Drosophila melanogaster: one gene and its partners. The protein of the gene in region 2 interacts with the protein of the main gene of each other region in a biochemical or structural test. Each region holds a gene or a part of one and is shown on either strand. Other genes may lie near its edges.

Evidence for each region. The genes of interacting proteins can lie anywhere in the genome.
Region 1: of the proteins of stet (region 2) and Krn, one has a biochemical effect on the other in vitro, tested with the Drosophila melanogaster proteins (one study listed by BioGRID).
Region 3: of the proteins of stet (region 2) and spi, one has a biochemical effect on the other in vitro, tested with the Drosophila melanogaster proteins (2 studies listed by BioGRID).

What each region holds. Positions count from the first base shown.
Region 1 is NT_037436.4:17,647,537-17,656,005, forward strand, and holds Krn (keren), read right to left. Parts: upstream 6,745-8,469; 5' UTR 6,456-6,744; intron 3,091-6,455; 5' UTR 2,997-3,090; coding exon 2,343-2,996; 3' UTR 2,026-2,342; downstream 1-2,025. Other genes in the region: Ndfip (Nedd4 family interacting protein), read right to left, coding at 905-1,708; CG7484 (uncharacterized protein), read left to right, coding at 7,152-7,190, 7,246-7,364, 7,682-8,060.
Region 2 is NT_037436.4:1,485,254-1,493,264, forward strand, and holds the start of stet (stem cell tumor), read right to left. Parts: upstream 4,295-8,011; 5' UTR 4,199-4,294; intron 3,793-4,198; exon of another isoform or gene 3,653-3,792; intron 3,579-3,652; exon of another isoform or gene 3,486-3,578; intron 3,255-3,485; 5' UTR 3,164-3,254; coding exon 2,993-3,163; intron 2,938-2,992; coding exon 2,845-2,937; intron 2,777-2,844; coding exon 2,753-2,776; intron 2,683-2,752; coding exon 2,506-2,682; intron 1-2,505. Other genes in the region: CG12084 (uncharacterized protein), read right to left, coding at 6,501-6,665, 6,731-7,210, 7,393-7,554, 7,623-7,784, 7,841-8,011.
Region 3 is NT_033779.5:19,572,791-19,579,043, forward strand, and holds the start of spi (spitz), read right to left. Parts: upstream 4,526-6,253; 5' UTR 4,396-4,525; intron 2,798-4,395; exon of another isoform or gene 2,745-2,797; intron 1-2,744. Other genes in the region: msb1l, read left to right, coding at 5,008-5,184, 5,250-6,218. UniProt on the Drosophila melanogaster protein: Ligand for the EGF receptor (Gurken). Involved in a number of unrelated developmental choices, for example, dorsal-ventral axis formation, glial migration, sensory organ determination, and muscle development. It is required for photoreceptor determination.

The DNA.
Region 1 (8,469 bases), about 16 Mb from region 2:
ATACAAAGGGATTAAACATAGTAATTAAACGTTATAATAGGCAATAATCATATGTTCTAGCAATAGTTGTTTGTGTGTGTTTAGCATTCGTATTACTGCTGGCTCTTGTGTAGTTAATTAATTAAGTACCACAGCGTAAAATGGGCTCAACAAAAGATATGGGTGGCATACTTTTCTATCTCGACCCTTTATAATTTTGTATCCCATTTATTTTTTGGTTTGTTTTGTGTCTTTGTTTCAAGTGCATGGGCGCCACTAAAAGGCCTAGGGAGATTTTGTGGGGGTGTAGAGGGATCAATTAGGGTGAGATATTTATATATCCATACACATTTCACATACATTTACAATTATAATCGATTGGGGGAGAGCAGATGCGAAGATGCATTCGCCTTTCACTTTTTAACACACATTTTTAACGTCTCTAGTTAACACAGAAACTACAAAAAATGATAACCCACAACTCGGATAGCTCTCGAAATCGAATTTTCTTCGCAACATCTAAGCCGCTGCACCGTTTACAATTTACAATTGGCTTAATGTAAAACTGTTCAATACATTTAGTATTTAAAAGAAAATTGAAACTTTCTTGAAAGCTAATGCAATTTTGGACTTGCGAGATATCCCAATAAGTTTGTGACTTGAAAGTGTAGTAAACGGATATACAAAGTATATTTTTGAATAACATTACTTCTATTTTAAAGAAATTGATTGACTAATACATTTGAGGGAATACTTTCAAGTCCATAGTGATTTCGAGAACTCTGCAAAATAAGTTCGCGTTGATTTTTCGTGTGCTGGGTCTGGGGAATAGAGGGTGTTGGGATCGGTTGGTTGGTAGCATTCGAGCCTCCTAGCCACCCACAACGTATTTACAAGACGACCACTGGAAAGCCTCCAGGTGCACCTAGTAAAAGAATAGCAGCCGTTCCTGGGCAGAGGCGGAAAGGAGGCGCCACGATCGCTTGATGCTGACATACTGTATTAAAGCGCGTATGCTGATCAGGAAGCCAAAGGCACAGATCAGCCACCAGAGCCAGGAGTTTTCGTGCGAGGCCAAGTCCGTCGAGTGCTTCACGATCAGCGTCCATTTAGCCAGCGACAATCCGAATCCCGACAATGCTCCATATCGGGCGGCGATTGTGTGACAGAAACAGGTGAGCATCAGGAAGCCGATCCAGTTAAACAAAAAGGCCACAATGAAGGCCGTGATGAACATGATGTCCGTGCCGAGCAAGTTGTCGGTGGTGGACAGACTATTTTCCGGATCGCTGGCATCGATGGCGATGAACGTGAGTGCCGGCTGGGCAGATCGCACAGCAGCGGCTCCATCGCGCAGCGGATTTGGCGGCAGTAGCGGATTCGGCGGCGGCGGTAGCTGCTGCGAGGAGGGTAAAGTCAAAAAGGCGGGCGGCAGCTCTCCGTTCAGCGACTTTTCCATTTGAACCTCCTCGTACGTGGGCAACTTCCCGTGTATTTCTGGCGGCAGTTGTGCATTCATAAGGTCCGCCTGGCTCGGCAGCTGCACTTGCATCTGTATCGGGATCTGACTGGGATCGGGTGTGGCCAAGGCCAGCGGTGGCATCTGAGCCGGCAGTGCTACCTGCTGGCCATGGCCAACGTTCGCCTCGTACGGTGGCGGAGCACTGAAGTCCGCCTTTGGCGGTCCCAACTGATCATCCCCGGGAGACGGCTGGTTGTTGTGCGGCATGACTGGAAATTACAAACGGAAAACGGGAAAATTAATTCAGTGCTTAAGGGGTTACAAAGCATATGAATTTTTTTGACAGCCTAAGGTGACGTCTCAGAAAAGAAGATTCTTAAGAAATTCTTTTCTTTCTTACATACTAAATTTAAGATATCCTTATTTTCGTGTAGCTTAACAGATCAACTGTTTAGTATTTACATGCATCTCTGAAATAAAAGGAAAATCAAGGCCATGGTGAATTTTGTGCAAACTATTCCCAATCAAATTCTAAAGGTATTCGAAATTTGCATTATCTAAATTGAAAGTAAAGCTGGTGATTTAGTTCTCGCTTTTATTGACGATATTAGTTCACGCGTTTTTTTTTTTAATAAAATTAGGTGTATAATAAATAAATGGGCGGCTAGCTGCCAAAATTGCATTGAATTATATCTAGATTTATTTTTATCTCTCTCTGAGCAATCAGTTTTCGTTCGTTAATACTTGATCTAAATGTGTTATAGGCACGTCAGTAGGCACTTAGAACTACGGCATTCGCCATCTCAATCAGATGGCAAAAATAATAGTTTCGTTTAGCAGTTAAAATAAACAGTTGGACATGTTAGACATTTAAAAACAAATGAGCAGCCAGGCTAATTAGTTAGCGCAAAAGTTCGTTGCAATGCCTGGGGCGATTGGAGGCTTTCGCTTGAAGGTGGGCCTCCTCCAGCGATAGGATGCGGCAGGGTCCAAAGGGACGTCTCACTGGACGTAAGGGTCGCAAGCCATCCACCTCGTCCATGCCCTCGTTCTGACAGCCACCGTCGGTCGTTGTGGTTGTGGTGCTGTCGTGCAGCTTTTGTTTTTGCAGCTTCTCGTGTCGCAGATACAAAACCACACAGCACATGGCCATAAACAGAAGGGCCAGCGTTGCTCCGCTAACAATGCTGGCCTTCTCTAGCATCACACGGTTCCTGGTTGGCAGGTACGAGCCATCAATCTCCTTGTACTCGCACCTCGGACCCATAAATCCCAGCGCACATTCGCAGTTGTATAGGATTTCATTGTGGATCTTCACCGTAAAGCAGGTGCCATCGTTCAGGCAATACCAGGCGACATAGGTCGGTGGACAGGCGAAGATCGGGAAGGTGACATTCGGTCTCGGCGTTGTGGATATTTCCACATTATCCGGCGGCAGGATCGGTGCAGCTGTTGGCCGCGGCTTAGCGATGGCACGCGAGGAACAGGCGGCGGTGAGCGGTAGGTAAGCGCCGATTAAAGCGGTGGCAAGCAGCAGCAGATCCTGGGCTCGCATCTTGATCTTAACTCATGGCAGCTTACTTGGGAATGTGGCAATGCAGTTTAAGGTGTTTTGTAATGTGGAATTCTTGGCTTTGGCTGGCAGGCGGCTGCAAAACAAAAACGAAGTGCAATTAAAAACAAATCAAAAATGTAAGCTCGTGTTCGGGTCTGTGTGGGTTAATTGCCTGCCTAGCACCGCCAGCCGCCTCCTTCTCACAATTACAACCTATGCTCCTCGACCTAAGTGAGAACGAGAAACAGAAAATCGAATTTCATAAATTTTTAACAAAAAAATGACATCGTTTATTTACCTGGCCGGAATCGCGAGCGGAACCCAAGCGGCTGTGGCATTTGCACAGCCTGCATTCATTATCAATTGGTTTTTCTGTTTACACTCTCACTTAACATAGCGAACACTTCAGGCACTTCAATATATAAAAACTGTTTAATACAAGATGTATTTAAACGTATAAAAAATTGATTTAACCTTAGGATTTCGAAACGCCTTGTTATAAACAAGATCTTTTCCGGAGAAAGAATGAGCTTCATTAGAATGTAACTGATCCCGTTGCGTATATAAACAAAATAATTCGAATGATCAACAGAAACAACGATGTTGAGTAATTCTGCTGAAACAAATACATCATTTGTAAGCAACATTTGAGTGGCGACCATTTGAGTGGGCGTAAAAAACATAAACAAATTAGTGCTCGCCTTAGTTGTGATCCACAATAACAGTGTCGTTTTCAGAAACACTAATTTTCGGAATTCCACTTAACGTAAATTAAAACTTTCTAAGTGCTTTCAATAAACGCTAGTCATGCCAACTTAACTGTCTAAATTTATATTAGGAAATATGTCAGTGAAATTGAACTATTTTTTTATTCAAACATGCAATATTACATTATTAATCAAAACTAAAGTTATATTCTTCTACTTGGAAGTGAAGGAAAGAAGAGCGAAACAGTTGCAATTATAATAAATATACACTTCGTTTTAAAAAGTTTTGCTTTCGTCACCTGTTTGGATGTTAGCACATTAAATCTAATATTTGTACTTTATTTCAAACAGTCAATTATATATAAGATAGCATTTAGCTTTTATTTTCTAGGACTCTCGTCACTAGTCGGAATCTCAATCCACAGTCGCGAGTCCTTGGACTAAACCGTGTCCAATTGCTTTGTAAAGCTCAACGGAGCCCTAAGCCCCATAAAATTTCCCCTTTCCTCCCATCACATGTGTGGCACGCACCTACGTCTAAAAATAACAACAACAAAGCTCACGAGTGAAAGTTGACAGCTGAAATGGCAGGAGAAGAGTGCGAGTGCGAGTGCGAGTAGGACAGTGCGACAGTCGCAAAACACAAATGCAATTAAGATGACCTTTCGGTCAATTGAAATATAAACGGAGCCAAACGAGCAAAACAAAAATAGTTCAAGCCAATAAAGAAACTGCGTGAGTGGGCTTAAGTTGGCCCTAATTTCTGCGAGTGCATATATGGGTTTTTTGTATAGTTTTTTTTTATATCTGTGGGTATGTGGGTGAGCCGGACGTAAGCTTGAATAATGAGCTAATAGGCGCCAACGAGCTAAATGAGCACCTGGTGGCTTATCAAAAATTGACCTCACAAACAGCAGAGTACACAGAAATAAATTTTGATATCATATATGATATGATTTTTGTATCAGAATACAAAAGACTTTGGTTTCATATGCACTCAATAATTACTTTTGTATACACACTTTAAAATACTTCAATAAATATAGGAAAACATAAACAGTACTATTTGTATAATTAAATTTAGAGGTGTCCAATTTTTTTCGTGCGCAGGAATATCTAAAATCACAGTCAACACAGAGAAACCGTATTGATAAGGTGACAAATACCATCCACAGGTGCGGAAAGCAAGTGGATGCTAGGCAGTAATTACAGTTACCTGTGGATGAGTCAGATGTGCGGGCATTTGAAAAATTGCAAAATTGCACGAAACCGAGAGATTGCACATTGTACAGTTGAACTTATCTGCGTTTTGCCAATACATTTGGTAATATCATTTTAAATAAGACTCTATAGTGACACACAAAGATTTGGAGGATTTCACAATCAATCCCAATGTAAAGCGACTTTGCTCATTCTTATTTTTTAAGAATTCACTAACAATCGGGCTCAAGTACACTTATCGTTAACATGCTTCAAAGCTGGCATATAATTATTTTCAATGTAATATATACATATAAAAACTTAGGTAAGGTTCTCTGGAAAATACACTGGTTTTTCCATTGAAAAACAATAGATGTTTAAACCGAATAAATCGATTTGCTTTTAATGCGTATGCATTCGGCTAAAAATAATTTTTGAATCTTTAAAATAAATAGAAAAGCTTTTACATTTCTAAATGTCAACACATATGGAATTACCTTTGAAACAGATGAGAAATTTTGTGCAAAATATATACATATTTTTTTTTAATAATTCCATCTGGATTTGTAATTCCAAAAGTGTTTTTGTATCTAACAATATACAGTATTAAAAAAACAGTATTTGGTATCTATAGAATAATATGTGGTTTGTCATAGCCAAGTTTTACTGCGTATGCGTGTATGTAAAAATAGGATTGGAGAGGGAGTTAGAGCTCTCGAGAGGGAGAAAGCAACAGGGCCGTGACAAAAGGCGTTGGAAATTAGGGAATTGCCGTGGAAAAGTAACAACGCAGTTTGGGCCAGGTTTTGGGTTTCAGCCGGAGTTTGTTCGGTGATAAGAAATTTGAGCGCGTGGACAGCTGCCAAGCAGCAGGTGTGCGCAAGGGAGAGGGCGATAGAGGAGGCATCAGTGGAATAAAGCATAAAGTAAACCAGTTAAACGGGACCGGGAGCACAAGAGAGAGGATGAAGATGCAAGCGGAAGAAGCTGAAGAAGATGCAGATGGAGCTGTCTGAATGGAAGGTCTCTCAAGGGGCAATTTCCTGGATTGAATGAAAAACACACAGGCACCGACAGCTGCAGTGGTATTGCAGTGGAATAGAGAAAGAATAAGATTAGGAGCGAAGAGGGGAGGCGGTCGACTGCGAGAACGAGTTTCCAAGCAAACGGCGCTTGTTGTTATTGTACAAGGGCAAATGAATTAATTTACTTGAGTAAATATGAATTAAATAAACAAGTACACCGACACAGGGGTAGACTTATCGGAGTGTGCACTTTTTTTTTTAGCGTTTAGCACCTGAGTGGCGAAATCTAGCAGAATTAAGATTATTAATGTGCTAAACAAAACATAAACACATGTACACACACAAACGCACAACTGGGGCTAAAGTGCTGAGGAGGGGGAGAGAGAGCCTTAAATCTCCAGGAGTGCTCCTGTAACGGTTATTTGTTTCCCTTTCTTCGCCCTTTCTTTTCACGTCTATTTCTGTACCCGATTTTAATTCGATTTGATTCTAGTTCGCCTTTTCTATGCCATGTTCTATTTATTCACCTTGTTTTCTTCTATGCGTTGGTCGATTGCGATTGCGTTCGCTTTTCTCTTTTGCGCAGCGCTCTCTCACGTTTCCGTTTTATTGATTTTGTTCGAATTTTGTTGACTTGTTGTTGCCAAACACGCACACAGCTAATACTGTTGGTTTTTTGGCAGAACTGCGACAGTAGGCGTTTCGCTTTCAAGTGGCTTCACTATACGCAATTTAAATAATTTAAAACTGGGCTCACTTCGCGAGCGAAGCGAAAAAAACAAATGCACCACCACGAATAATCTTCGATTTCTGAGCTAGTGGTGGCCAGCTGCTGGGCAGTCCGTATCGATTGTAGGGATGTAAGCGTGATAAGCTATCGAATCACATGAAATTAGTTATTAACATCGGAAAATAAACTTGCGTACTTGAATATAAAAACCTGAAATTATTTTGTACACTTTTATAGTGACAAAAGTTTCAAATTGCTGAAAAAATATCAAGAAATAATAATAATAAGTTTATTAAAGCTGTTCAAAAGTTTGATTAATTGTCTAATTCATAAACAGTATACGGAATACCCTAAACGATGAAAAGACAAGCAACCCGAATATAATCGATAAGCCTAAATAATGTTATTTTCCCTTCTACTCATCACTAAGCTAAGAAAATTTTGTAAACAACGACGTGGACGTAGTAAATTTAATTAGAATTTAGCCACAAAAATGCATAAATGTGCTATATTTCTTCTACTGGCTTTAAGTGTAAGTTATGTCTGAAGCTAAGACATGTTTTTAATATATATTTTATACCCTACAGTGCCAGCAAATTCAAGCCGAATTGACGGCCGCCGACTGCCGGGCGTTGGGTTTTATTAAGGCCCAGTTAATGTGTTCCAGTTGCGAAAAACTGGATGATTTCGGATTGGATACCATCAAGTGGGTTCAATAACATTTAATTAATCTAGCTTTGGAGTTGTAAAGATACCCATGAACTATGCTATAATCATTCCATAAGAAGACCTGAAAATTGTTTAATTAATATGTTAATCTAATTAGATCAGGTTAAATTTCATACCTCATTTTAAATATTCCAACCAAAAATGCTTAGCTTGACTTAGTAAGCTCCTCCATACCACTGACTAAATATGATTCTTCCTTCAGTTTTTAATAACAAAAATTATATTAACTTTTTATAGTTTCTGCTTGAGCCCATTGCTCTTTTTTATTCATCCAAAACATTTTTAACATTTCAGGCCTCAGTGTAAGCAATGCTGCACTTTGGATCAGCAGCCGGCGGCACAGCGGACATATGCCAAGGCAATTCTGGAGGTGTGCACCTGCAAATTCCGGGCCTATCCGCAGATTCAGGCCTTTATTCAAAGCGGCCGACCTGCCAAGTTCCCCAACCTGCAGATCAAATACGTAAGAGGACTGGATCCCGTGGTTAAGCTCCTAGATGCCAGTGGCAAAGTGCAGGAGACGTTGTCCATAACCAAGTGGAACACAGACACTGTCGAGGAGTTCTTCGAAACGCATCTGGCCAAGGATGGTGCCGGCAAGAATTCGTACAGCGTGGTGGAGGATGCCGATGGAGATGACGATGAAGATTACCTGCGAACCAACAGGATCTAAAATAAGCATACCCAAAACTGTAGATTAATAAAATCCGAAACAAAACTATAGACCGTACCATTTTCTTTCAAAATCATTGAATATTTATATTTTGTTAAATATATTCTGTTCAAGAACTAAAAATGTGTAGACGTGAGATTAGTACTCCAAACTTCTGGGATGTCAAGCCACTGAATTTAAAAAATATAAACATCAAGATCAGGGATATACATAAAATTGGCTTGTAATATGAGAGATCTAATCTAACTAAAGAGATTTAGTTTTTAAAAGTTTTTAGAGCCACTGCAAGGTGGCGTGAGCTTTTCTACGCGCCACCGCGGAAAAGCTGTGGACACAGTTTGAGAGTAACTGACAAGCCAGTTACTGCAATGCGACGCCGTGGGAGTTTTCGATTCATAAGTATAAATTA
Region 2 (8,011 bases):
TCGTGCCCCTCGGTGGCGTCTTGCGGACCACGTCCTCGCCGCATCCACATGCCCGACTTCTGTGCGCTGCCATAAAAGGATTTGTCACGTGCGAGCTTTTGTTGGAAATGCAACAATCATCAGCCTGCATTATGCATGGCGCATTGCCAGGTTGGACATCGCATCGCGGCATTCCTGGATTCCTGGCGATTCCACCGCCAGGTCCTGGTTAATATGCCCTCCCGTGTCCGGCAGATCATTGCAATTTATAATTAAGTGGAAATATGTTGTCTACGATGGCAACAAGGATCTCAGATTGCTGGCAAAGATATGAATGGCTCGCCAAGGCGAGAGAGAGAGAGAGAGAGAGAGACATAGAGGGAAACGGAGCCCTCAATTGGAATAACAAATGCATTAGCAGGCCAAACAAGGACCTAATAATGTCCTCGCCGGGGGAATGTGGAATGGAAATCCATTGTGCAAAGAATGGCCCGGGTCTCATCCGCAATTACCGTTAGGCACACACCCAAACCAAAGACACTAGAATAACAAGATGCGTAACGCCATACGATTTTTTGGCACACAATTTTTTGGCCGTGGCTCTAGAGGTGGCTCCAGGCTCTCTCGAATTTTTGTTAGAGAGCGAGAGAGCGAAGAGCGCTACAGCGAACCGCTCTTTTCTACGCATACAGTGATAGCAGACAACTTTATGTGTGCACACGTATGCTCATGCATTGTAAATTTGACAAAATATGCCCTTCACCGTAGAAGTTCTTAGACTTTAAATCTATATTATTTTTTATCAATTGGCACCATGCGAAAAATTCTTGTTTTGCATTGCCTTAACGTTATTATTATTTGAAAATAGATTAGAAAAAGCCAAATCTATGTACATATTATCACAAAAATCAATTTCAAACATGACTTTATATAAGAATATTTGTCATTAGAGTATTCATCTTGCGGCGTGTGAAAAATTAATAAGGCAATGATTGTTGAGTGCTTGTGTCCGCATTTCGTGCCTCAAGATATGAACAAAGCAAAGACACTAGAATAATTCTAGTGTCTTTGATATTACTTTTGCAATAAACAGTTATCATATTTAATTATTTAGTATATTTATTAAATCATTTGACCTAATATGATGTAACATTAACATTAAAAGTGTTTCAAAAAAATTATTTCGCTTTTAAAAAATTGTCAGATGAGAGACAAATTAGAATTAAACATAAATATAAATGTGTAAACGGTAGATAATTCGAGCGGCGATTTTAACAAACAAATTTAAACAGCTTTAAAATTATAATAAGAAGAGCGCGAATTTTTAAAAATTATTTTATTTCATCATATTGCTACGAAATTGGCAAAAAACTACCCTAATATGTACAATGTAAATTCATTTCTTTGATCAGAATTGATTTCGGCCCGAAAATCGTCTTCTAGCACAACACGCACACATATACGCGTTCTCGTCTCTTGTTTTTAACTCACACAAGCAAGCAAATTCTATTTTTAGATTTCTTATGTTCTCAGCGTGAGCGAGCGGAAAGAGAGCAATTTTGGCCGTCACCAAAAAAGTGGCTGCATAGTGCCAAACCAATGTATGGCCGTTACGCATCTTGTTATTCTAGTGTCTTTGCCCAAACTCACTCACACACTTACACACACACACACAGGGGCAAATGAGGACACGTCGGCCTGGCTAATTCATGACTTTAAGGACACTTTGGCAAACAATCGAACGGCCAAGGCGAAGGAATATTCACTGTGCAATTGATTATGCATGAGTGTTTTGTCGTGTGCGGTTTGTGTGCGTGCCAATCAACTGGGTAGAATCAATCAAAATGCAATAGGATTGCCCTGCCAATCAAAGGAAAAGCCGAGAAAAGCGCTTCATTCGCTCGCAGAAGTCACCTCTGCCGCCCACTCCCCTCCAGTTGCACAGCTCAAGTCCAAGGTAGTATTTTCGGACCACATCAGGACAAATAGCCAGTGCCCAGGTAACCAGGACAAACACTCAAATGCCTGGCCAAGCGTGGCGAAGGAAGCAAACGAGACGTGGGCTTACATACAGAAAAACTATGGTCTAACTTTTTCTACAATCGATGTCCTTGGTATATCCTTCAAATAACTTAATGCGCAGTGTATTTCATTCAAATACATTGCTGCTTCCGGAACAAGGTGTCCATAGGTACTAGCATAAAAGTAAGTAACCCCCTTTTATTCGCAGTGTAAGCGTAAGCGGCGCATTTATTTGCCAAGCGCACTTTTTGCATTTGCCAAACAAGAGTGCGGCTCCTGCCAGGACGAGGCCTTGTCCTCCGTCTGTTTGAACACGAGCCTACACTTTGGACCTCGTCCTGGGTGAGTACTTTGCACCTGTGTTTGCACTTAAATCGAGTTTGCCGTTGATGAGCAGCCCGGGACAAATATACGCATGGCATGGGTGCTTTGGGTACTTTGGTTACTTTGGTTACTTGGCCAGTGACCACCGGCGATTGTAATTGCGGCACACGGCACACTCACCACATTCACAAAGTCCTGGAACGTCACGTAGCCGGGTCCTGTGGGCAGCTTCGCCTTCTTTGCCCGCTCCAGCAGCAGCTCCCGCTTGTTCATAGGCACTTGGGACAGGAACTCCGGCGACTTGAGGGCCTCCAGGAATTCCTCGACTGATATTTCGCCAAAACCCTCGGGATCGAACTGCAAAGCGTGAAAAGTAATTATAAATAAGTATAATTATAAGTATTCCTTTTTGGGTTGGCTTACTCACCATGTCAAAGAGCAGTTTCCATTTCTGTAAGTAAAGTGAAGAAAGAAGGAATTATAATAAGTAATGTTCAGGATTTTCGTATTGGAACTCACATCTCTTAGTAGCTCCCGTCGCAGCTCGGCCTCATCGAAGTCCGAGTTCAGGGACGTGTGTTCCGTATCATAGCCGGCATCATTGGTGCATTGCTGCGGGTAATTAGAGTTAGAGATACGATCTTTACAAGCAACTCCGGCTCCTTACATAGCGCATTTGGGTGTGCGAGAGGGATCCAATGGAGGCAAGGGAGCCGGCAATGGTGGATATGTGCTCGATGTCGGCCAGAGTCTCCTGCTGACTACTACCGCCGGCATTTTGCTGGCTGGTTGGGATTTCCAGGGCCCGCGAGCTTCCTCGCTCGGAGCCGGGCCACATCCTGCTGTTCCTGGCTATCCAGATTTGGTTTTGGGATCAGGGCGGATCGTTGTGTTGTGGTTTGGCAGTGTTTGTAGCGATTAGAGTTCAGCTGCGGAAAAGTAATTATCAAGTATTATGCTCCGAACTTGTCTGTCCTTTTATTCCCCAATATTGTAGAAATTTAAATAATAATTTGAAACAAAAAAAGTAAATAGCTGTTATATATTTTTAAAATGTTTGTTTTCGAAATTCGCCAAGTGGATCCACTGTGCAGAGCTTTTCAATCTCTTTAACTCAAAAGCTCTTTTGGAGGCAGTTCAGTTTGAACGACATAAATTCCACCACCGATTTGGTCGAGTGCGCTGAGATGTCGATTCACGCGTGCTCACGTTTTTCGAGTGGCGGTTCGAGTGCCGCCGAGGTTGTGTCGAGATGAATAAAAAAAATAATTCATTCATTTCGTTTTCTTAAGAAAAGAAATTAAGATTTTCTGTTTGTTGGGGTTGGGGGGGCCTGTGAAATCAGTTTGTTGCAATTTGACGTTACTAGAATTGTTGCACTTTCCGCGGGCCCAGAGAGATACTTCCGGATAATCATAGGCTGCTGGTTTTCAATACCATAGTCTATTTCATGGCCGGCAAACAAATTTCCTTTTTGCTTTTGCCCTTTGTTTTGATTGCCAAGTCAACGGTTTGTTGTCGTTTTCCCTTATTTTCCGCTGATAAGAAGGTTATTGATCCTGCTGGAAATATAAGGCACACTGCGCAGAATCCGGCTGGCAAACAATTGTTTTGCATTTTGTTTACGCCTCGTCAATTGCCGGAACAATTTTGTTTTCATTTTGTTGAATTAAACTAGGCAATTGGCATTGATTGAATGGTTTTGTTAGCGAATGAATGGAATGCGCATTCTTCTCCTTCCATTGAAGGAGAATTGGCTTGATTGCTACCCCCCGTGTGTTTTGCTTTCTATTTGGTTCACAGGACTTTCTTGCTTGCGCTTCTCTGCTTGGCCTTTGGCTTTCTTTATTTCATTTATTTCACTTTTATTTACCGTTTTGCTTGCACCCGCGAACGCAAAACTATTGCACATTTACATCCAGGCAAAAACAAACACGCGAACTTTCCGCCGGCAAAATGACAACTGACCAAGGAGAGCTGCCAAAATTGAGAAGAGAGAGTGTCTCTCTGGGGGATGCAGGGGATTCGGATTCCCACGGCACATGCGCTCAGCTTGGAAAGCATTTCCAACCCGTTGGCATTTCCTTCCTCCCCTGCGCCCACCCACCCGCTCTGCGAGGGGGCGCATGACGCAATTCCAGAGCTGGCCACTCACACCCCCTAATGTTTACATACCCTGCACTTCGATAATAACAGCGGCTACGCACCCCACACCCCGCGACTTGCACCGTGGAATGCCAATGTTAAAATCATCACTAGTTTTCATACTAGTTAGTGATTCACTGCTGAAAACTTGATGAATGAAACTGCACGGGAGATGCAGCTTTATTGAAACTTACTCATATCACATACATATGATGAAGACAAAGCTCTGGTTGGCACACTCCACTCCACACTGTGCTACAAAGTTGCGATTGTGAAATGATGTTTTATGAATGAAGTCGAATTAATGAATGTATTTTGTAGAGCAAACTTTTAATTTGGAAAACTTTCTAGCCCTAAACTCAAAAAATCCGTTTTAAATATGATAAAAACAGATTTCTTAAATGTGTGATGCATTCATTCTTTAATGATGTCTAAAAAAAAATAATGATTTCAAATAGATAAGTTAAATGGAAGTTCCTGAGCTTTATTTGAGTAAGAGCTGTACCAAAATATTTTTAAAAATTACTTTAATCGATCAAAAGCAGAAATAATAAACTTAAGAAAAGTTCCACTGTAAGAATCGTGTGATTTTGGATGGTAAGGAAAGTGTAAGACCAAAGACCCTAGAATAACAAGATGCGTAACGCCATACGATTTTTTGGCACACGATTTTTTGGCCGTGGAACAAAGCAAAGACACTAGAATAATTCTATTGTCTTTGATATTACTTTTGCAATTTAATTTAATTGCATATTTAATTATTTAGTATATTTATTAAATCATTTGACTTAATATGATGTAACATTAACATTAAAAGTGTTTCAAAAAAATATTTCGCTTTTAAAAAATTGTCAGATGAGAGACAAATTAGAATTAAACATAAATATAAATGTGTAAACGGTAGCTAATTCAAGCGGCGATTTTAACAAACAAATTTAAAAAAGCTTTAAAATTATAATAGTCAGGGCGCGAATTTTTAAAAATTTTTTTATTTTATCATATTGCTAGGAAATTGGCAAAAACTACCCTAATATGTACCATGTAAATTCGTTTCTTCGATCAGAATTGATTTTGGCCCGAAAATCGTCTTCTAGCACAACACGCACACTTATACGCGTTCTCGTCTCTTGTTTTTACTCACACAAGCAAGCAAATTATATTTTTAGATTTCTTACGCTCTCAGCGGGAGTGAGCGGAAAGAGAGTAATTTTGGCCGTCACCAAAAAAGTGGCTGCATAGTGCCAAACCAATGTATGGCCGTTACGCATCTTGTTATTCTAGGGTCTTTGGTAAGACACAGGCGTGATGTCGCTTACGAATCAAATTATATATATGTATATACGTAATGTAAGGTAACTAATGGTAACGTACACTGTTATAAATATTAATGCCAAGCGCAGAACTTTCAAAACTGTTACTTGCAATATATTTACAGTTGCTTAAGCCTAGCCTAGTGGTCTAGATTATATAGCTAGATTATTTTGAACGATCCGATCCTGAACTTGCAGCTACTTGGGTTCGTGATGCGAAAGCACAGCAAATGTGGGGGGGTTAAGTGAGCATCGTATGATGACCACAATTCAAAGAACAGATTCCATACACTCGTCTATGTGGCTAGAGAAAGAACTATCGATCCACGGGGAATTCAATTCTTAAGGATTTATTTAATCTCCAGCAGCCTTGCTTGCTACTCCAATGTCTTCCTCTTTCCGGTTTTAACAATATTTACACTTCTGAAGGCCTAAAAAGATCGCTGGCTTACAACATGTGATACATCATATACATATATAATCTAGTAATTATGTAATTATCGAATATTTCTGCATCATTAGATTTAGTTGCTTAACTCTCGCATAGTTTAAACTTGCATCTATGTATCTGCTGCTCTCGCTGTAAACATAAAAGTCAAGGAAGAATCTCTTGAACCACATAACACATGCACTTGCTTTAAAACGGGAAACAGAGGAAGCAGAAAAAAAACATTACAACAAACTCGACTCCTAAAGCTACGTGTTATCCTAAATATCCGCTTAGCCGTCGACGACCATGCGTTCCGATCCGGAGTCGCACTGCTCTATGACCAGGCGAGCGATGCGCTTGATCTCGCAGTAGGGACTCTCGTGCTCGATTAGCTCGTTGAGGATCTGGATGCCGTTCTCCTGCTCCACCAGCTTGCAATATTTTTCGGGATAAACCTGTGACGGAATGCAGAAGTTAGTACACAATGCACCAACAATGGGAAAAGGAATTGCTCCCCCACCTGTGTCAGATTGGCCAGGGCCCAAACAGCCCAATGTTGGCACTGGGGCGTCTCGTAGCAGCGCACCAGGCTGAGGATCGGCTCAAAGCTGCGGTAGTTGATGTTCCGCTCGCTCTTGATGTTCCACCGCTGAATGGCGGCCACCATGCGCTCCAGCACGTGCTCCCGGCTGGGCGTCTTGATCGTCCAGGCATCCGCTCCGTCCGAGGCAATGTGCGCCAGCACTCCAGCCGCATTGTAGCTGACCTGGAAGCGCAGGTAGGCATGGTTAGCACTGGCCATCTCTCTCTCCCGCACTCTCGCCACCACACTCGCACTAGCACCACCCACCTCGATGCCATCGCTCAGGGAGTCCAGCAGACGGGCAAACACCTCAATGAACTCCTGGGTCATCAGCTTGGGCCGCAGCCACTTCACCTCGGCCACATTGCCCAGCAGGCCCATCATGTTGCGCAACAGCTCGTCACGATCCGGGAAGGTCTGTTTTGGAAAAGGACAGTTCAGCTTAAGAAGTCTGGATACAGGAAGTTAACCTATTTCTTCATGAAACCAAGGAGTATACATTTGTTCGCTTTCTCTATGCAGCTCTTAAATTAAATATTTTAGTTCCCAATCTTATCTTTGTTGCGCTGCGGATAATGGCAAGTTTTTGGAGAACTTACATGTAAACACTTAAGGAAATACTCCATGCCACGTCCATCGAGGAATCTCTTACAATTAATAGCAGTCTCATCGGTTACGTTCCACATGGTGGACCAAGCCACCTCCATCACATCGTCGAAAACGGAGCGAGTCAGCCGATCCTTTATCAACGTGAACATGGTCTAAAGTCAAGAATATCACCAATAAGTACAATAAGTTCCGGCAAACAGTTGATAGGCAAGACACTTACACTAACTACGCCCAACTCGCCCAGGAAGAGCTTCTGTCGCCCATCCACCTGGCAAGCGAGTGTGTTCAGCAGGTAGATTGCTATGCGCTGGACAAATCCCTCTTGCTCCGTCTTAGAAACGCCGTGCAGCAGGATCTTGATGAGACGCTCGTACTCGAAGAGCTGAAAACCAGACATTTAGCTGTACTTAATATAATATTAGATTAGGCGGTGCTTACCACATCGACTGGCATGTGAAACTGGGTGAGCGTGAGGTAACCATTCCGCAGCATGGTGTCGTCGGTGATGTGCATCTCCATGCCATTGAGCAGCGTGCGAATGATGTGATTGCGCAGTAGTGCTCCAAACTTGGATCGATCCCTGCCCTTGACAATGTAGAACAGCGTGGC
Region 3 (6,253 bases), on a different chromosome or scaffold from region 2:
CTTGGAGAGTTAATTGGGTATACGGTGATGGGCTCTTAGGCAAAGAATTTTTCCAAAATACACTTTGCATAATTACTCAAATAAATTGCCTCAGAAGCTACTTTACTCGTTTAAATCTTAAATTAATATTATTCCATTAATGTCAAGCCACACAATACAAAATTCAATAGGAATCACTCACCTATAGCTGTCATTGCAAACAAATGATATTACCTATTGGACTAAAGGGTATATCTGAGTAGTTACGCTTCGTAAAAAGGGCTCTCTCTTGTTTTGGTTTTTGTTTTGGTGTTGCCAGAAGATTTCGCACGATGTAGGATCAACATGTTATTGACACGACGTCGCCGACGCCGCCACTTTTAAGCTTGGCGGAGCAAAAGGCACACAAACAAGAAGCGACGCAGAGCGGCGGTGCAAAAGCACAAAAAAAAAGAGGAAAAATGCGCTCGAGAGCGGAGGGCGTGGCGGTGCGCAGGGGCGGGGCAGGTAGCCGGACAAACAGGACGAACAGGATGAAACCCAGACGAGTTCGGCCCCACTGCAGATTTCATGGAACTGGCCGAAGGTTGAGGATGCGGATGCGATGCGCAGGCGCGCAAGTAAACAACATTCCATTCCTCGGGAAATTTCTTCTGGCCGCTCGAGAAGCGCGCCAAAAATAAAGCTCCGACCGATGTCGTTGCCATAAATATTGCTATTTTGACTTTCCAGATTCTCGCGATTCAACGCCCCTTGAAATGGGAGCAACTTGCTGGAGATTCGCGTATCAGGGCTGGAAGAGGGTTTCTCCAATAACTGCACATTCACTCAAAAATATGGTAAAAAGGTGTGCTGCAGCTTCGAGAGCTCCCAAGAGGTAACTTTATGTTATAAAATTACATATATTTATTTTATGTATATATTCTGGGAAAATCCATACGCGATCTAAAACATTTGGGGCGCGGTTTTCACAGGTAAATGAGATTTTGGAATTCCTTTACTGAAATGCCAACGTCGATGTCGTCGATTTTTTCAAAAAATCACAAACATCGATGTTTTTCGAGGAATCATCGATGTTTCTCCACCTCTAATAAGGCGGATTCGACCTATGTACATGTACTGCATGTATGAAAGCGGCACAACTACCCGTTTCCGGTGGGCAGTCGGTCCGCAATGTGGGCCGCAGACACCATTCCACAGCCAATTGACGTCACAAGCGACACAACAGCAACAACCTGGCACACGCTTTCTGGGTTATGTCGGAATGCATCCAAAAGCGGGAGAAAAGTAGAAAAAGGCAGGAAAAGAAAGAAACCAAGAGTCACCCGGATGGCAATTCGATTCTGGTGAGATTTGGACAATCAATCGGCTTAGTTCACAGCCCAGCGGGACGGGACTCAGTGCTACAGGTTCAACTGTACAATAATACCAAGAAGATGACGACGATGACGATGACGATGATGATGGGGGATGGGCGATGGGCAAAATGTTAATGGATTGCCCTAGGACCTGCCCTCATTCCGTTTGCCATCTTCGTCGCTTCGCTTCTGCATTTGTGCATTCCCATTCCCAATCCGATTCCCCCATCAAGTTGTGCTTCTTTGCCACACCGCTTTTCTGCCCCTTTTGCGGTGTTCTGTTGCTTTGTTGATGTTACAATTGTTGCACTTGTTGTGTGCGGCTTAGGACGTTGAACCACAGCCGGCAGAAATGCAGAAATGCACGCAACTGAGTGGCAAGTGTACAGCTGCAGTCACAGCACTAGCAATGCTTTGCGAAGGATTCCTCCAGACCGCTTTGTAATTGGTTTTCTTTCGCGTAATTTGGCCGATATTAGTTAGTTCATATCTGCAATCTAAATGTTACGAACCAGCAGAGTTCCTAGAGCCCTAGAGACATTAATGTACTTTTAATTGCCCCACTGTATGAATTTTTTTCAGTGCATTCTTGCAATTTGCTAACGTTTTTACCGCCATTACCGTCATTGTCGTATATATTTGTATGCTCATTCGGAAAGCCAATTCGAAGGCAATGCTAATAAAATCAATAAACAACATTACTGTCACGCACACATACATACATACATATGCATATAGCTTGGATGTCCGGTTGAAACGATGACGATGAAAGGTCACGACGAAGAATTTTTCGCCAATTGCCTGGTGGGTCGCACAGTCTGGGTCGCGAGACGTCTGACTAGACAACATGCAAATAGTAACGGTAATCATTAGACGCACACACTCGCACCTATTTGCATGCACACTCTCTCTGGCTGTGGTTCTGGTCGTGGGCCCCCATATTTCATCTATCTCGCGGCCGCTCTTTCTTTCGCTCACCATTTTCTATGCTGAGTTCGACGGCCTTCTTACGTAAAATCAACAACAACGCTCTGCGGTATTTCTCTTCTAATAAGCGGGTGCTTGGGGCTTGGGGTTGGGGGGATGTGCACTCGCCGACAGAGTTGCCATATCTAGCCAGACATCAAACTCGTTTTCACTGTTTTGGCTCCACACACACACACACACACGCATGTGAGTGGCTTTGCAACTGTACAAGAACAATAAGTAGGGGCAGCATAAAAGCAACAACACACGGCGCAGACGCCAAGCAACCGCTCCCCTCCCAACGCTCCACTCAATGTTTGTCTGTCTGTCCGGAACGTCTGTTTATGTATGCTTTAGGCGTATACATGCATGAGTGTGTGTGAGCAATTTTTATTTTTCTGAATGTAAAGGAAGTGGCACGTACTGTACTACTCAACTCACCGCTGCCGCAACAACAAGAGCAGTGACAGCCGGATCAGGCTGGGAATTCGAATAAGAGCGGAGCGCGTCGCATTCGGATGTTCCGATTCCCCATCGTTCCCAGCCGCAAAGCGGTCAGCGTTCCAATGCCAACGGCACAGTGGTTGCGATGCGTAAGGTAACGTGCTACGGAACCGAAACTCGCGGATGATCGTAAGTGGGAGATATGTACGTGGGATAAGAGCGAAAGTAGACGGATATCCGATTTGCAAAAAGATGTAGTATTAATTTAAAATGTTTAGAATAACAAAAATAAGCTAACAAAACTATAACCATGACAAACTATGACGATAACAATATATTTGCTATGCGTTACGATTTACAAACTTTGAATACTTTTTAAAAGATGCTTATTTAGGATCGATCCATTGTGCAGCGAGATGAGCGGAACGAAAGGCGAAAGGGACGCTGGTTTGCGTCTCCGCTGTACGCCAGACAGACAGACAGACAAGACGCCGCAATATTATAAACAGGAAATGGAATTTACCCACACGGATGCAGCGCGGTGAAGTGTGTGTCTGTGTAAATTGCTGATGAGCCGACAAACGGACGTGGTGCTCAATTGACAGATGAGCACGAGAGAGACAGGCAGAGCATAGCACACCGCCGAATGAGCGAAGGAGAAGGCCAGAGCGCGCTTCAAAGTTGATTGAAATCAATATACGTACATACGTATGTATACACACATAGCGTGCCGGTGTGAGTGTGCTAAGACCGCTCGTGGAATGTTTGAAAAACGCGGTCAAGCGACGGGAAGAGCAAGAATGTTGAACTCTGGAAGTGGGAAGAAGTTTCTGTAAATAGAAGCCAGGTGGAAGGGGCTTTTGCACCTGCCACGCCCAGCAGCCCCTGGAATCAATTAACATGTTGCACAACTGCAGCGGCTCCTATATACATAGTTCATATAATGTACTTGTGATACAGTGACTTACGCACACAGAGGTGCAATTGCAGATGGCGACGAGTGTAGCGTGTAGTTTTTCTCGGAAATGAGCAATGAATGAAATTCGGTTGTTTTCAGTACTCACACGCACACGAACGCAGATGCATACACTCGCAATTTGGAGCAAGAGAGAAAGTCTGCACGACATGCGCTCTGGCGTTTGTGTGTATACAATTTGCTTACTTTTTGCGCTACAATTGGCAAATAAAACAATAGCGCAATTTTACGCAGCACTTTAGCTTACTAACCCACATTGATGGCTCCACAAAGCGAGCAAAATAATTTGTCTGCCTAATTGAAATAAAATAAATAAAACTAAGCAGAAAAAATGTCGGCAAAAAACAAGGCGCAGCTGTATTGTGCGCTAGTGTGTGTAAAAAGGAGACGGCCATAGAAAAAAAAAACACATATACACACAGGAGAATTTACTGCTGCTTGCGGCGCCCACACACACATACACAAAAACACTCGCCTATTTAGTACAGCAACTGCGTAAATTCAATAAAAATAGTCATCTGGAGTAAAAAAACCCAGTTTCCTGTCTTCATTTCCCTTTTTCCGTGAAGGTACACAGTCACTACTGTTATAATTTAGCACACACACTCGCGCATTTATGTATGCATTTGGGTTGCTTTCATTTGGATGTTTATCACTTACTTTACCACTTACTTTGGGATTTAGCTCTTCGTTTGTCGCACTTTTTTGGCCTGTTTTCATGCCATTTTCTTTTTGAAAAACTGAAAGAGTACAATTCGTTGTGTCGCGTCTTAAATGAACAAGTGTTGCCAGACTTTAGCTGGAGGGAGATGACACTATCGCGAGGCAGCATAAAAATCAGTGCTGTAAAGCGAAATTAAAAAAAATATCTGATAACTTTAATATTAGTTTATTTGTTTACTGAATTTTACATTTTCTTATGTACTATAAATAAAAATCAATTCATAAATTTATTTGAGAGGAGTAAAACAAGAAGAATCCACCTAAACATTACAGACTTAAGTTCTAAATATCCCAAACGTTGTTTAATTTCTATTTATATTTGTAACGATTAGTTAGTTATTAGTAATAATGAAAGAACTAGTGATAAAATCCATTTGTAATCACTGCTAGAATTGGCTTGAAAATAGCTAGACTGACGTTAACAATACTGTTACCAGTTGGCATTTCCTGATCCGGCAACTCCACACGACGCCATTTCAAAACAAATGCGCGGCAACGATTTTATTTTACCCCGCAACATTTAGTGAGAAGTCGCAAAATAAGTCAGATTATTTGATTAAAATGGGAGCAAAGGCAACAAAAATGGAAGGTGAATATCTGCCGGATACGCCGACACTAAACAAAATGCGCCTGGCCAGCGAAAAGCGAGAACAAATGGAAATGACGACGCCGAATCGAGAGCAAAACAACGCTTTGCTCGATCCTCGATCACCAAATGGCTGCCGCACGCCTTTAACCGTGAGTTTATAGGCATTAGGTATTTTTTGATATTACTAACCCTAGTAATGATGGCTGCGTTGTAGTTCTTGCAGGCGTCAAAACCTCGCGTTGAGGAGGAGGAGCAGCATGTGACCACCAGTGAAAATGCCTTCTCCATGCTGCGAAAACGTTTGCTCAAGGGCTTCTCCCTGAACGATCCTCGCTCTCCTCAGCTGAATCGCACTCCACTGGTCCTCGATGAGGTTCGTTCGCTTAATATGGATGACACATTCGCCGATCTCTTCGTGGACACCAGGGTGGGTACAGCACAGAGAGCAGTGCCTGCATCACCGCCCCAAGTGGATTTAGAGGAGAGCTGCGATAGCTTCGGCACACCGCCGTCTGCTGCACACAACAATATTTCCCTGGAGATTGTTTCACTGCCCTATGATCAGGAAGAAACCTTGCCTTGCGAGCAACAGCTGCTGCCGTATCAGGAGCCGAATCTGGAGCAGGGCCAGGTGAAAATGGCCACGCCCCCGCCAGAACAGCAGCCCCATGGTGATCCCCGATCGCCCAGCCTGGGCGTCGATCGCACACCCATCATCTTCTGCGACGACGAGGAGGAGGAGGCACGCGAGGCCCAGATGCTGGAGCACATCCTGGAAACACTGACCCTGAATCTCAGCACTGGCAGCAGCATGGCCTCCTTTGTCGCTGGCGAGGAGCAGCTACCAGAAGTGCCGTCGAACAAACATTTGGAGCGAGTGCGTTTGGGTCACAAGCGTCGTGTGCCACCGCGCAAGCCCGCCAGAGCCAACAAGCCAAAGATCTATGTTGACCAAGAGGAGGGGTCCCCGGTGACCGGAGGATCCATTACGCCCAAGACAAACAGTACCCCCCTGTCCGCACAAAAGCGAACTCCACTCAGTTGCGTTAAGAATAAGCCGCATCTGCGATCCCGTTCAATGGAAAAGGATTCTAAGAAGAATCAGATTCCGCCCGCGCAGAGCTTCAACGATCAACTGCGGATAATCTCTGGCACAGAGGGATTCAGCGGACCCGTTTACTAACACAGCTTAGTAGCTACTATTGCCTTATGTCCATC